Linked DNA regions of Caenorhabditis elegans. The protein of the gene in region 1 purifies or fractionates together with the protein of each later gene. This does not show direct contact. Each region holds a gene or a part of one and is shown on either strand. Other genes may lie near its edges.

Region 1 (5,901 bases):
CAGAAAACCATGGTTTGTCCTCTGGAAGATTTTTGATACGCATTAATTCATTTTTTGAATTTTCAGGAAAGGTAGGAGTACTTTAGGATTACTGTCAACATATTCTTGTATCAGCAATCCGAAAATTGCTGGTAATAAGTTTTAGCACTTTTCAAGTGACCTTCCTGATTCATTGAAGTACCCTAAACGATCCTTGACTCGATTCGATTCAATGACCATTTGTGTCCACTCAACCATTTGTGTGTGTGTCCCAATCCCCCACATCGAAAAAAATCGTCGTTCTCATCCAAGGTGACACAACAACCGGTTTCCCATCTTCTCTCCGGGTTCTCGTCAAGAAAGACACGCATACACAAAAATGTGTTGGTATACATGCATTTTAGGCATGTTTTTTCACCTTTTTACAGTCATTTTTACAGGTTTTTTGTGTGTGTGTTTTCGAATTAGAATATTCATGGATTTTCGTACTGTTTCTAAATGCTTAATATCAAGGCAGAGTATTAGATTTTTTATTTGATATTTTGTTTGAAAGAAACGTCAAAAAGGTGAATAATTTCACTTTTGAAGTTCGGCAACATTACTTTCGGTCTCGAAAAAAGCATGCGCCTTTGAATATAGTCTATATTCCTTATTAAAAATTAAGTTTGAATAATCTAGGTTTTTTTTCATTCTTATGTATACTATCCATATAGTATGTACATTTGCCTGTCTGTCTGCCTGCTTACTGTTACCTAATGTCACAATACTTGTACATTTACATGCGATCGCAAAGTTTAAATAATTAGGTAGGCACGTAAGCAACATACATAAAAAGTTAAAATCTCAACCGACTCCGACCAAATCTTGGCTTGTTGTATTTTTGCATTAAGATTTAACGGTTTAGATTTAAAGATTTCAGATTTCTGGCTTTCATCATAAATTAAAATGAAAGAGTTTGCCGAACTAGGCCATTTTGGCTCAGCCATATCTGGGGTAGATTTACAGCGCGTTGCGTGTCGCGTCGCGGCTCGTTTTTAGTTGTAAAACTAAATGTATTTGTCCGTGTGGAGTAAACGACTTTTCCACGCGTTGTCCGGCAGGCGATTGCCAATGGAGCGCGAAAAATTCAATGAGGAAGGCCAGAACCCCGTGAGATTTTTCACTTTTTTCTTACAATTTGAAGTTGCATTTTTAATATTAAAATTTGAGTAAAACTATATAAAACACATGATTTTGCGAACGTTCATTGTTCTGATTTTTTTGTAAATTTATGCAAAACACCAATTCCCCACAGATTAACTGTCACGAACTACAATGTACGAAAATCAAAGCCGCAGGCTATTTCGAAAATCACGAACTTTTCTTTGTCAATGTTTTGATAAAAGATCAACACCAACCAGTTTCTCCTCCTCCGATTTCTAATTGTTAGTCGATTTTTAGTGATGATGACTCACTTCCTCATTTATTTGATCTTGTTTTTCGCGCTCCTATATATTTATTCAAAAATGTTTTTCTGCTTATAAACATTTTTGAATAAATATATAGGAGCGCGAAATATCTGCTCTGCGAGCATTTTCATTGAAACGTTCTTATTTTTCAAAACGTTAAATACATTTTTCTGACCGGAGAATTACTTTTTCCGATGTTTTTATTTTTTTCTGAAATTAACAATCAAATTGCAATAAATATTCAAGATTTTTTAGCTATAATAGAACATATGATTTTCAGGCATAATTACAAGTGTTTCAAAAATTTCTAATAGATATATCCGAGGGCAAATTAACTAGATTTGTGTGTTTTAAAATTGACTGGTTCCAAATTCAAACATTAAATTAGTTAAATTGATTTTTCTAGTTAAAAAAAATACCAGCGCGCCAAAATATATGGTGTATTGACCTCAAGCGCACAATTTTGCACATGTGTCAATTCTTATATTAAATACACCCAAAACAACCATTACCTAACCATTTTTTTTTCTAGGATGCGATCTTTGCTCCTTCTCCTCTTACCGCTCCTTTCGGTATCAATTCCACTTGGGAAACAGACCGGTTACGACGATGCAGAAGCCAGAAGACTTGTAAAACTGGCAGCAGCAGCGTATGGGGAACGACATGTTTCTTGTATTAACAAGTAGGTTTTTTACTCGGCCACTAGTGAATTTAGACATATTATAGCTTTTTATAAATTTAAATCATATATTCTTAACTGCGTCATCACCTCCATTTTGGCGGGAAATTACATTTTTCAATTTTTAAAAACTTAAGAAAAAATCGAAAAATTTCATAAACGTCTGGAACGTTTCTAAATTAATCCGAAATTTCTGGAAATTACTAGAAAAAATCCAAGAAGCTTTTGGAAAAATATAGGAACATTTTTGAGAATGCGGCATGTTATAGAACCTTTCAGAAATTTTGTTAAAAAGGTACGGTCCAGGGGTAAAAATTTCAATTTTTGTCGAGGTTACTTTTGAGACAGAGTTTAAAAATAAACTATAAAAGAAACGAAACAAAATAATTTCAGAGCCTTCGGGAACGGAGAAAATTTTCATATTGAAAATATCGAGCAAAAGAGTTGCGATCACTTGGATAGTACCTGTGCGTCGTTTACAGGTAGGTGCACTATTGCACATTTTTTATTAATACCTACGTTCCTGCCAATTTTTGAACTTTGACTAACCCTCCAGGCAGATAGGAATAACGTTTTTGCGAAAAACTTTCTTTGGGACTTTATCTAAATAATTTTTCCAGTCGTCTCCGAAAATGCACGACGAATTATTGTGGTGTTCCGAGGAACACGATCTAAGGTATGTGAATTTTGAAAAACTTACAACAGTTTTTTTAATTTTCAGTCTCAACTATTCCTAGAAGGATGGCAGTCCGTCGGAACCGGAATTGATTTCTTTGACATGGGAGAAGTCAATAGATATTTCCTAAATGCGCATTTGGTACTTTGGCCGGAAATTGAGAAAGTCATTACGAATCCAAGATGGGCGGTCAGTTTTTTTAAAAAATTATTTCGCATTTCAATTAGTTCTATTTAATTATGTGCTCTCGTATATTCGGAAATTCGGACAAATTTTCATGATTCGAAATTGCAAGTAGATATTTTGAAAACCGGCAATAGTCAATATTGTCGATTGCCGAATATTTCAAAAATCGTTAATTGCCAAAATCGCCGGTTTTCAGAATTTATTAAAGGTGGAGTAGCGCCAGTGGAGAAATCGTTAAAAACCACTCCTTTGGTCCCAAAATGACCTAATATCACAATAAAACGTTTCAAACAATTTTTGCAAATTTTTTATTTACTGTCAAAAAGTGACAATTACTCCGTTTTTGCCACTCATAATTTTGGAAGTCGACCAAAAAAAATTTTTTTTTCTACAATTTTTATACTGTTAATTTGTTTTAATTATTTGGATTAGAACATTGTAGGGGTCGGAACATGCGATGAAGCTTTGGATTTCCTCAAAAACTCATATTTTTCCGAATTTCGGCAATTTGCCAAAACTTCGACCAGAAATTATGAAAAATCTAAAATTTTTTGGAATATTTTATTATGATATTCGGTCATTTTGGATTATTGATTTTCTCTATTTTACAAAAAAAATTCCAGAACTTCGATATCACCTTCACCGGTCACTCCCTCGGTGGAGCTCTTGCTTCTCTCGCAGCCGCCCGTACCGCAAAACAAGGCTTCCGATCTGGCTCTCAAATTAAAGTCTACACCTTCGGCCAGCCACGTGTCGGAAATGTGCAATTCGCTCGCAACTTTGACGCGATTCTCCCGAACACTTATCGAGTGGTCTTCCGACGAGACATCGTTCCACATATGCCAGCGTGTCACAAGAATCAGACATTCATCTCGGAGCACGAAGGTGGAGCAAAGCCGTGTCACGCAGAGCACCAGGATTATTATCATCATGGAACGGAGATTTGGTATCCGGACGAGATGAGCGCTGGAGCACATTATGTCGAGTGCCTAGGGGCTCCGAAGAATGAAGATTTTGGATGCTCGGATAGAATCAAGTTTTTTGTTGATCAATCTGATACGTACACCTGGGATCATCGACATTATTTTGGAGTCAAGGTAAGGGAGAGTTATTTTTTAAAAGGTTTATTAGGTTTTTGTTTAGTACGAAACATTTTGAAATTAACGACAATTTTTGAAAAAAAGGAAAGCGTAAATTTAATACCGAAACAACCGAGTTTATGCTGTAATTAGGCATTTGGTAGGCATGCTAGCAGGTTTTATATAAGCGCGTACATAGGTAACCAGGCATTAGGTAGGCGTTAGGTAGGAACTTTAGCAAGCAGGCATCAGCTATCCACGAAGGTATGCAGGAATGATTTCGAAATTAAGAAGATATAAATGAGGTAGGCATGTAAGTAGGCAGACACATTATAGGCGCGTAGGCAACCAGACATGATGTAGGCACGTAGGCGTTCAACCTAGTGGTAAGATCTTATCACACGTTTTGACATTTTGCACTTTGTAAGAGTTCAACCTCTCCTCCTCTTGCAACCAGGCACACATATGTCCTGATCAGGTGTCAAAATAGATGTGACGTAGATAAAGTTAATGTTGCGACTTTTTTTTTGCCAGCTGTGTGTCATTTTTTGAGAATGTATGGAATTTTAGATTTTTTTAGCGAAAAATTACCTTAAAAATTTTAATTTACCTCACGATATCTTACTGTCGTAATAAATTAATTAAATTTTAAATTGAATTTTAAAAACTCACAACTTGGGCTTTGAAATAGTTTTTAAAATTTGTTTTTTTTTTTTTGGAAAACCGGAAACTCTATTAAAAAATTATTAATTGTTTTACGGAAAAATTTTATGTCTAAAAATTTTAGTCAAAGATTTTCAACAACTGTTTTTAAATGAGATTTTGAATTTTAATTCTTAGAAATGTGTAAGAAGCTTTAAGTTATTTTAAATAAAACCATCTTATCCTGAAAAAAGTTGTGCATCATTTCTGATTAATTTTCCAGGTACCACCATATGGAAAAACCGGATGCGATGATCTACTTCCCGAAGGAAAACCAACAGTTTTTGAAAATGTTGTGAAGCGGCTCAATTTGCTCACAAGAACCATTGGTTTGGATTAATTTCAATGCTTAGTATCCACCTTGCCAGCCCCATTACGAAAATCTCAATTTCCCCCAAATTCTGTTTATTTGACGACGTGTATATTGAAGTGCATATTGCATAAAAATTCGATGAGTTATTATTTACATAATTTTTATATAGACTTTCCAAAAAATAAGAGAAACTATAATTAAAAGAAAGTAGAAATTTGATAAATACTTGCTTCCTATCCGTCCTCAAATCAGTCTTCCTTCACATTTGGCCCACTGTCCTTTTCCTTGAAAACCCACGGACTCGACACCTTCTTTCCCATGAGCTCTGCAGCTTTGGCGGATTCCATATCTTTTCGGTGCTGTTGACGCGTCTCACTTTGATCTACACGGTGACCAGCGGCAAGTCTGAAAAATCAAAGCAACCTTGCAGAATCAAGTCAGAAAATGTTAAAAATTATGAGTTACATTATAAAACAAAGAAAACTTTACAAATCTCCGATCTCCGAATTTCGAAAATCTCTTCATAATCTTACCTCATCAAAGCTCTTGGCAATTCGTTTTCCAGTCGTCCATAGTTAGCCTCCACCATTTGATCCATCAACGCCTTTCCTTTGGTCTCAGGCTGGAAGAAGAAACCGACTAGAATGGTCAGAACTATCATTGCTTCAGGAATCACAAATGCTCCAACAGGCCAGGTGGAAGTGAGAAGTGGCTTTAGGATCAGGAATCCAATGATCGCTCCGATGTGCCTGAAATTATATTGTTTTCAGAGTATTGAAAAGTTTAGTAACTGACCTGAATGAGTGCAAAAATCCGAAAGCAACACATCTAATCACAGT
Region 2 (5,254 bases), on another chromosome or scaffold:
ATAGTCCTTTCGATTTTTCCGCCTGCTCCTTGCCCAGCTCCTTGCCAATTTTGCTTTTCGCGCGCGGTTTCGCTGAAAATCGATAATTTTTGGGGTGAAAAATCGTCGAAAACCTCACGTTTTCCATATTCATCACATACAAGAAGTGATTCTTCGTTTACTTTGGCACATTTCGAGTCGACACACGCCCATTCACCGTCTTTCAGCGCTCGACGCTTTTGTTCTCGATCATCGTCGTATTTCGACGACATTTACTGACTGAAATCGGGTTTTTATTGCGTTTTTTTGAATAAAAAATAAAAAATCACTAGGAATTCGTGAAAAAAACACGAAAAACCGAGAGAACTTAAGCTTTTTGTGTCGATTTCCGTGTAAATTATCACATTTCAAAATGCGGCCGGGTCTCGCCACGATTTGCCCGCCGCTGTGTCACGGGGTACGGTGGATGGCGAGAACCACGTCACTGTGCGAGAAATCTAGATTCCAATCTTTTTCCGGCGATTTACGTGGATTTTTGCCGGTTTTCAGCGGATTTTTTCGTTTTTTCGTGGGTTTTTGAGGTTAAAAATTGATTTTTGAAGCTTTTAAAGCTATATTTCAGTCGAAAAAGCGGCAAAAATCGATAAAAAACAGGTAGAAAGAGTGAAAAGTGACGTGGCGTTGAATTAGGTCAATTTAAATCAATTTGTCGTTGAAAATTGGGTTTTACAGCTTTAAAGCCTAGATTTCTGTCAAAAAATCAATAAAAACCAGGCGAAATGAGAGAATTTTGTGAAAAATCAAGTTTCGCAACTTTTTCCGTAGTTTTCTGTGGATTTTTGCGATTTTTTTCCATTAGAAATTCGATTTTCTGTGTTTTTTGCAGAAAAAGTTACAGTTTTTGCTGAAAAATGCGATTTTTTCAGGCAAAAACGACAAAAAATCCCATTATCAGCAGAATTTTGGTGGTTTTCTCAGTATTTTTTTCTGAAAAATGCAATTTTTTCAGCCAAAACTGGCAAAAATTGCATTATTAGCAACAATTTGTGTGATTTTTCAGATTTCTAGCTGAAAAATGCAATTTTTTTCAGCTAAAACTAACAAAAATCGCATTTTTTGTGGATTTTTGCAACTTTTCGCGTTTTTTTTTCCATTAAAAATTAAGTTTTAAGGCAAAAAAAGCGAATTTTCGCGGGGTTTTACCACAAAAAAAAACCGAGGGAAAGGCGAATTTTGCATACAATTGTCCAAAAAATTGAATTTTTTCAATTTTTTTACAAGAACAGTCAGAAAATTTGCATTTTTAGTAAAAAATTTGGCATTTTTTACTGAAAAAATGGAAAAAATCGATTGAAAATGGGGATTTTTAGCCGAAAATTTGGAAATTTTCAGTAAAAATCTGATTTTTTTAGCTTAAAAACCGATATTTTTCGATTTTTAAGCTAAAAAATTGATTTTTTCAGTGAAAAATGGAAAAAATCGATTGAAAATGGGGATTTTTAGCCGAAAATTTGGAAATTTTCAGTAAAAATCTGATTTTTTAGCTTAAAAACCGATATTTTTCGATTTTTAAGCTAAAAAATTGATTTTTTCAGTGAAAAATGGAAAAAATCGATTGAAAATGGGGATTGTTAGCCGAAAATTTGGAAATTTTCAGTAAACACCTAATTTTTAGGTTAAAAGCCGGGATTTTCCGATTTTTACGCCAAAAAACGGAATTTTTGACTAAAAAATCGGGTTTTCAGCTGGATTTCGAAGAGTTTTAGGGTTAAAAATGGTCAAAAATTCAATTTTTCTGATGTTTTTGATTTTTCTGATGTTTTTGAGCATTTTTCATGCTTCAGAGTGATTTTCTTGTCATTTACAGCGTTTTTTGATGATTTTTATCCATTTTCTGACGTTTTTGGGCATTTTTCATGCTTAAAGGCGATTTTCGGGGGTTTTCCAGCGTATTTTGACGATTTTTATTCATTTTCTGGCGTTTTTCGATGATTTTCGATGATTTTTCACAGAAAAATGCGATTTAGCTGGAAAATTCAATTTTTTCACAAATTTTTTTTTAAAACGTGAACTTTCTCTACTTTTTTCTTTCTTTTCCCCACAAAAAACCCGAATTTCCAGCTCCTCCACAATGAGCTCCGGAGAGCAACCATGCTACACACTCATCCACGTGCCCAGTGACGCTGAGCTCCCATCAGAAGCTCAATTGAAGGAAAAATTCGAGAAAGGAGGCGATAAAGAGCGAATTGAGGCGCTCAAAAAGCTCATTTACATGATTTTAAACGGAGAAAAAACGTCGCAGAGCATGCTAATGTACGTCATCCGCTTCTGTCTTCCATCCAATGAGCACACCCTTAAAAAAGTGCTCTTGATCTTCTGGGAATGTGTTCCGAAGACGGATTCCAATGGAAAGCTGCTCCACGAGATGATTCTGGTGTGCGATGCCTACCGAAAAGACCTTCAACACCCGAATGAGTTCGTTCGCGGTTCGACCCTTCGGTTTTTGTGCAAACTCCGTGAGCCCGAGCTTCTCGAGCCGCTTATGCCGGCGATTAGAGCTTGTTTGGAGCATCGGCACTCGTATGTTCGTCGTAACGCTGTCTGCGCGATTTTCACTATTTATAGTGAGTTTTTTTGGGCTTATTTAGGCCTGAAATGGGCTTGAAAATGCGAAAAATGACTTTTTTCCAAGAATTTTCACCTTTTATTGCATATTTTACGTTATTTAGTTGATAAAAGGTACATTTATTGCAAAAAATCGCATTTTTAGCTGAAAATTGGCGAATTTTTCAGCCAAGAACGGCTAAAATCGCATTTTTAGCCGAAATTTGAGGGTTTCTTAAGATTTTTGATTTTTTGCTCCAAAATGCGATTTTCTAGGCTCATTTTCGGTGAAATTTGCGATTTTTTGCGAAAAAATCCCTTTATTAGCTGAAAATTGGCGAATTTTTCAGCCAAAAATGGCAAAAATCGCATTTTTAGCCGAAATTTGAAGGTTTCTTCAGTTTTTTTTGGTGAAAATTGCGATTTCTCATGTTTTTTGAGCTGAAAAATACGATTTTTTACAATTTTTATGCCAAAAAACACATTTTTAGCTGAAAATGCGATTTTGTCAGCCAAAAATGGCAAAAATCCCATTTTCAGCTAAAATTTGGGGTTTTTTTTTCAGTTTTTTTGCTGAAAAATACGATTTTTCATGATTTTTCAAGAAAAATCACATTTCCAACGAAATTCTGACTATTTTTCGCTGAAAAACGGCAAAAATGCCAATATTCAGCTGAAAAATGAGCATTTTGTCTGATTTTTGTTGCCAAAAATCGATTATTAAGCTGGAAGATGGAAAAAAAATTCGACTTTTTGATGTTTTAAGCTAAAAATACGTAAAATTTCGTTATTTTAAGCAGAAAAATCGAATTTTTCAGGGAAAAACCTGAAAAACTTGCAGATTTCCAGCTAAAAATGTCATATTTTCTGCAAAAAAACCAGGAAAAATCGTATTTTTCAGCTAAAAATGCGAGTTTGGTCTTGAAATGCACCTTAATTAACGAAAAATCAATGGAAATATGCAATAAAAGGTGAAAATTTGAGAAAAAACCAACTTCGGGACCGGAAAATTGACCAAAATTAATGATTTTAGCTAAAATTAGGTGATTTTTTCGCATTTTTTGATCATTTTTTCCCCGTTTAATCCAAAAATCCCGCTTTTTTTCCAGAAAACTTTGAATTCCTGATCCCAGACGCACCGGAGCTCGTCACAGAATACCTTGAACAGGAGCAAGATGCTTCGTGCAAGCGTAACGCTTTTATGATGCTCCTTCACGTAGATCAAGCTCGTGCTCTTGACTATTTATCGGGATGTATCGATCAAGTCGGATCTTTTGGAGATATATTGCAGCTCGTTATTGTTGAACTCATTTATAAGGTGCATTCTGTGGAAAATTGACTGAAAATATCGATTTTTTGAGAAAAAACCCGTAAAAATGGGGTTTTTTTCGTTGAAAATCGAAGAATTTTCATTAAAAACGGCGATTTTCAAGAAAATTGCGGTTTTTTAAGGAAAAATCTGACAAAACCCTGTAAAAATGGGGTTTTTTTTTTTGTTAAAAAACGGAGAATTTCCATTAAAAACGGCACTTTTTTTATGAAAATTAACTGAAAATGTGAATTTTAGAGTAAAAAAGCTATAAAAATGGCGTTTTTTCGTTGAAAAATGGAGAATTTACATTAAAAACGGCGATTTTCAAGAAAATTGATTGAAAATATCGATTTTTTGAGAAAAACTTGTTAAACAGGCTATTTTTGTTTTAAAAAAACGGAGAATTTTCATTTAAAACGTCGCTTTTTATGAAAATTGAATGAAAATATGAACTTTTAAGCAAAAATCTCAGAAAAATCGTGAAAATCTAGAAATTTCACTATAAAAATGTGTGAAAATCGATTTTTAATTTTAAAATTAACTAAAAATTGGTTTTTTCAACGAAAATACGATAAATTTATCGAAAAATATGATTTTCCTCCAATTTTAACCGAAAAAACTGAAAAAAAATGGCCGAAATCATCCAAAAACTCCAATTTTCTTTCAGGTTTGCCACAATAATCCAAACGAGGCTTCCCGATTCATCAGATGTGTCTACAATCTTCTTCAGTCATCATCACCAGCCGTTAGGTGAGGAAAATCTTGGAAAAATGACGGATTTTCCTGGAAAAAATGGACAAAAAATCGCCAACACCATAAAAATTGTGCGATTTTAGCGAAAAAACTGGAAAATTACGATTTTTAGACCCCAAAACCTTAAAAATTCAGCGATTTTCTCGAAAAATAGCCTGAAAAAATGAAAAATGTTGAGTTTTTTTTTTTCGAAAAAAATGCTCCAAAACCTGGAAATTGTGCAATTTTTTCGTTAATAAGCTGAAAAATAATTAAATCTTTATTTTTTCTTGAAAAACCTATCAAAATTCTCAAAAAAATCGAGTTTTAGACGCCAAAAGCCCCAAAACCGTGAAAATTTCGCGTTTTTCTGAAAAAAAAAAAGATAAAAAGTTAGAAAATTACCGTCTTTAGACCCCGAAATCTTGAAAATTCCGCGATTTTTGTCAAAAAAAAATAGGCGAAAAATCAGATAATTGCAGTTTTGAGACCTCCAAAACCTCCAAAATTTTGCAATTTTTGTGAATTTAGCCTGAAAAACACTGAAAACCTGGAAAATTTTGAGATTTTACCGGAAAAAATAGGCGAAAAATAGGAAATTTATGAATTTTTCCCGAAAATCCCCAC

What was found.
Region 2: the proteins of T08B1.4 (region 1) and copb-1 fractionate together in Caenorhabditis elegans (co-fractionation; one large-scale study listed by BioGRID). This does not show direct contact.

The regions. Positions count from the first base shown.
Region 1 is NC_003283.11:1,977,478-1,983,378, forward strand, and holds T08B1.4 (Fungal lipase-type domain-containing protein), read left to right. Parts: upstream 1-1,790; 5' UTR 1,791-1,960; coding exon 1,961-2,109; intron 2,110-2,498; exon of another isoform or gene 2,499-2,499; coding exon 2,500-2,588; intron 2,589-2,726; coding exon 2,727-2,782; intron 2,783-2,827; coding exon 2,828-2,971; exon of another isoform or gene 2,972-3,591; coding exon 3,592-4,065; intron 4,066-4,972; coding exon 4,973-5,089; 3' UTR 5,090-5,264; downstream 5,265-5,901. Other genes in the region: T08B1.1 (Major facilitator superfamily (MFS) profile domain-containing protein), read right to left, coding at 5,311-5,467, 5,596-5,811, 5,858-5,901.
Region 2 is NC_003280.10:3,076,696-3,081,949, forward strand, and holds the start of copb-1 (Coatomer subunit beta), read left to right. Parts: upstream 1-2,100; 5' UTR 2,101-2,110; coding exon 2,111-2,603; intron 2,604-3,692; coding exon 3,693-3,901; intron 3,902-4,562; coding exon 4,563-4,645; intron 4,646-5,254. Other genes in the region: Y25C1A.8 (Zinc finger Ran-binding domain-containing protein 2), read right to left, coding at 1-72, 119-251.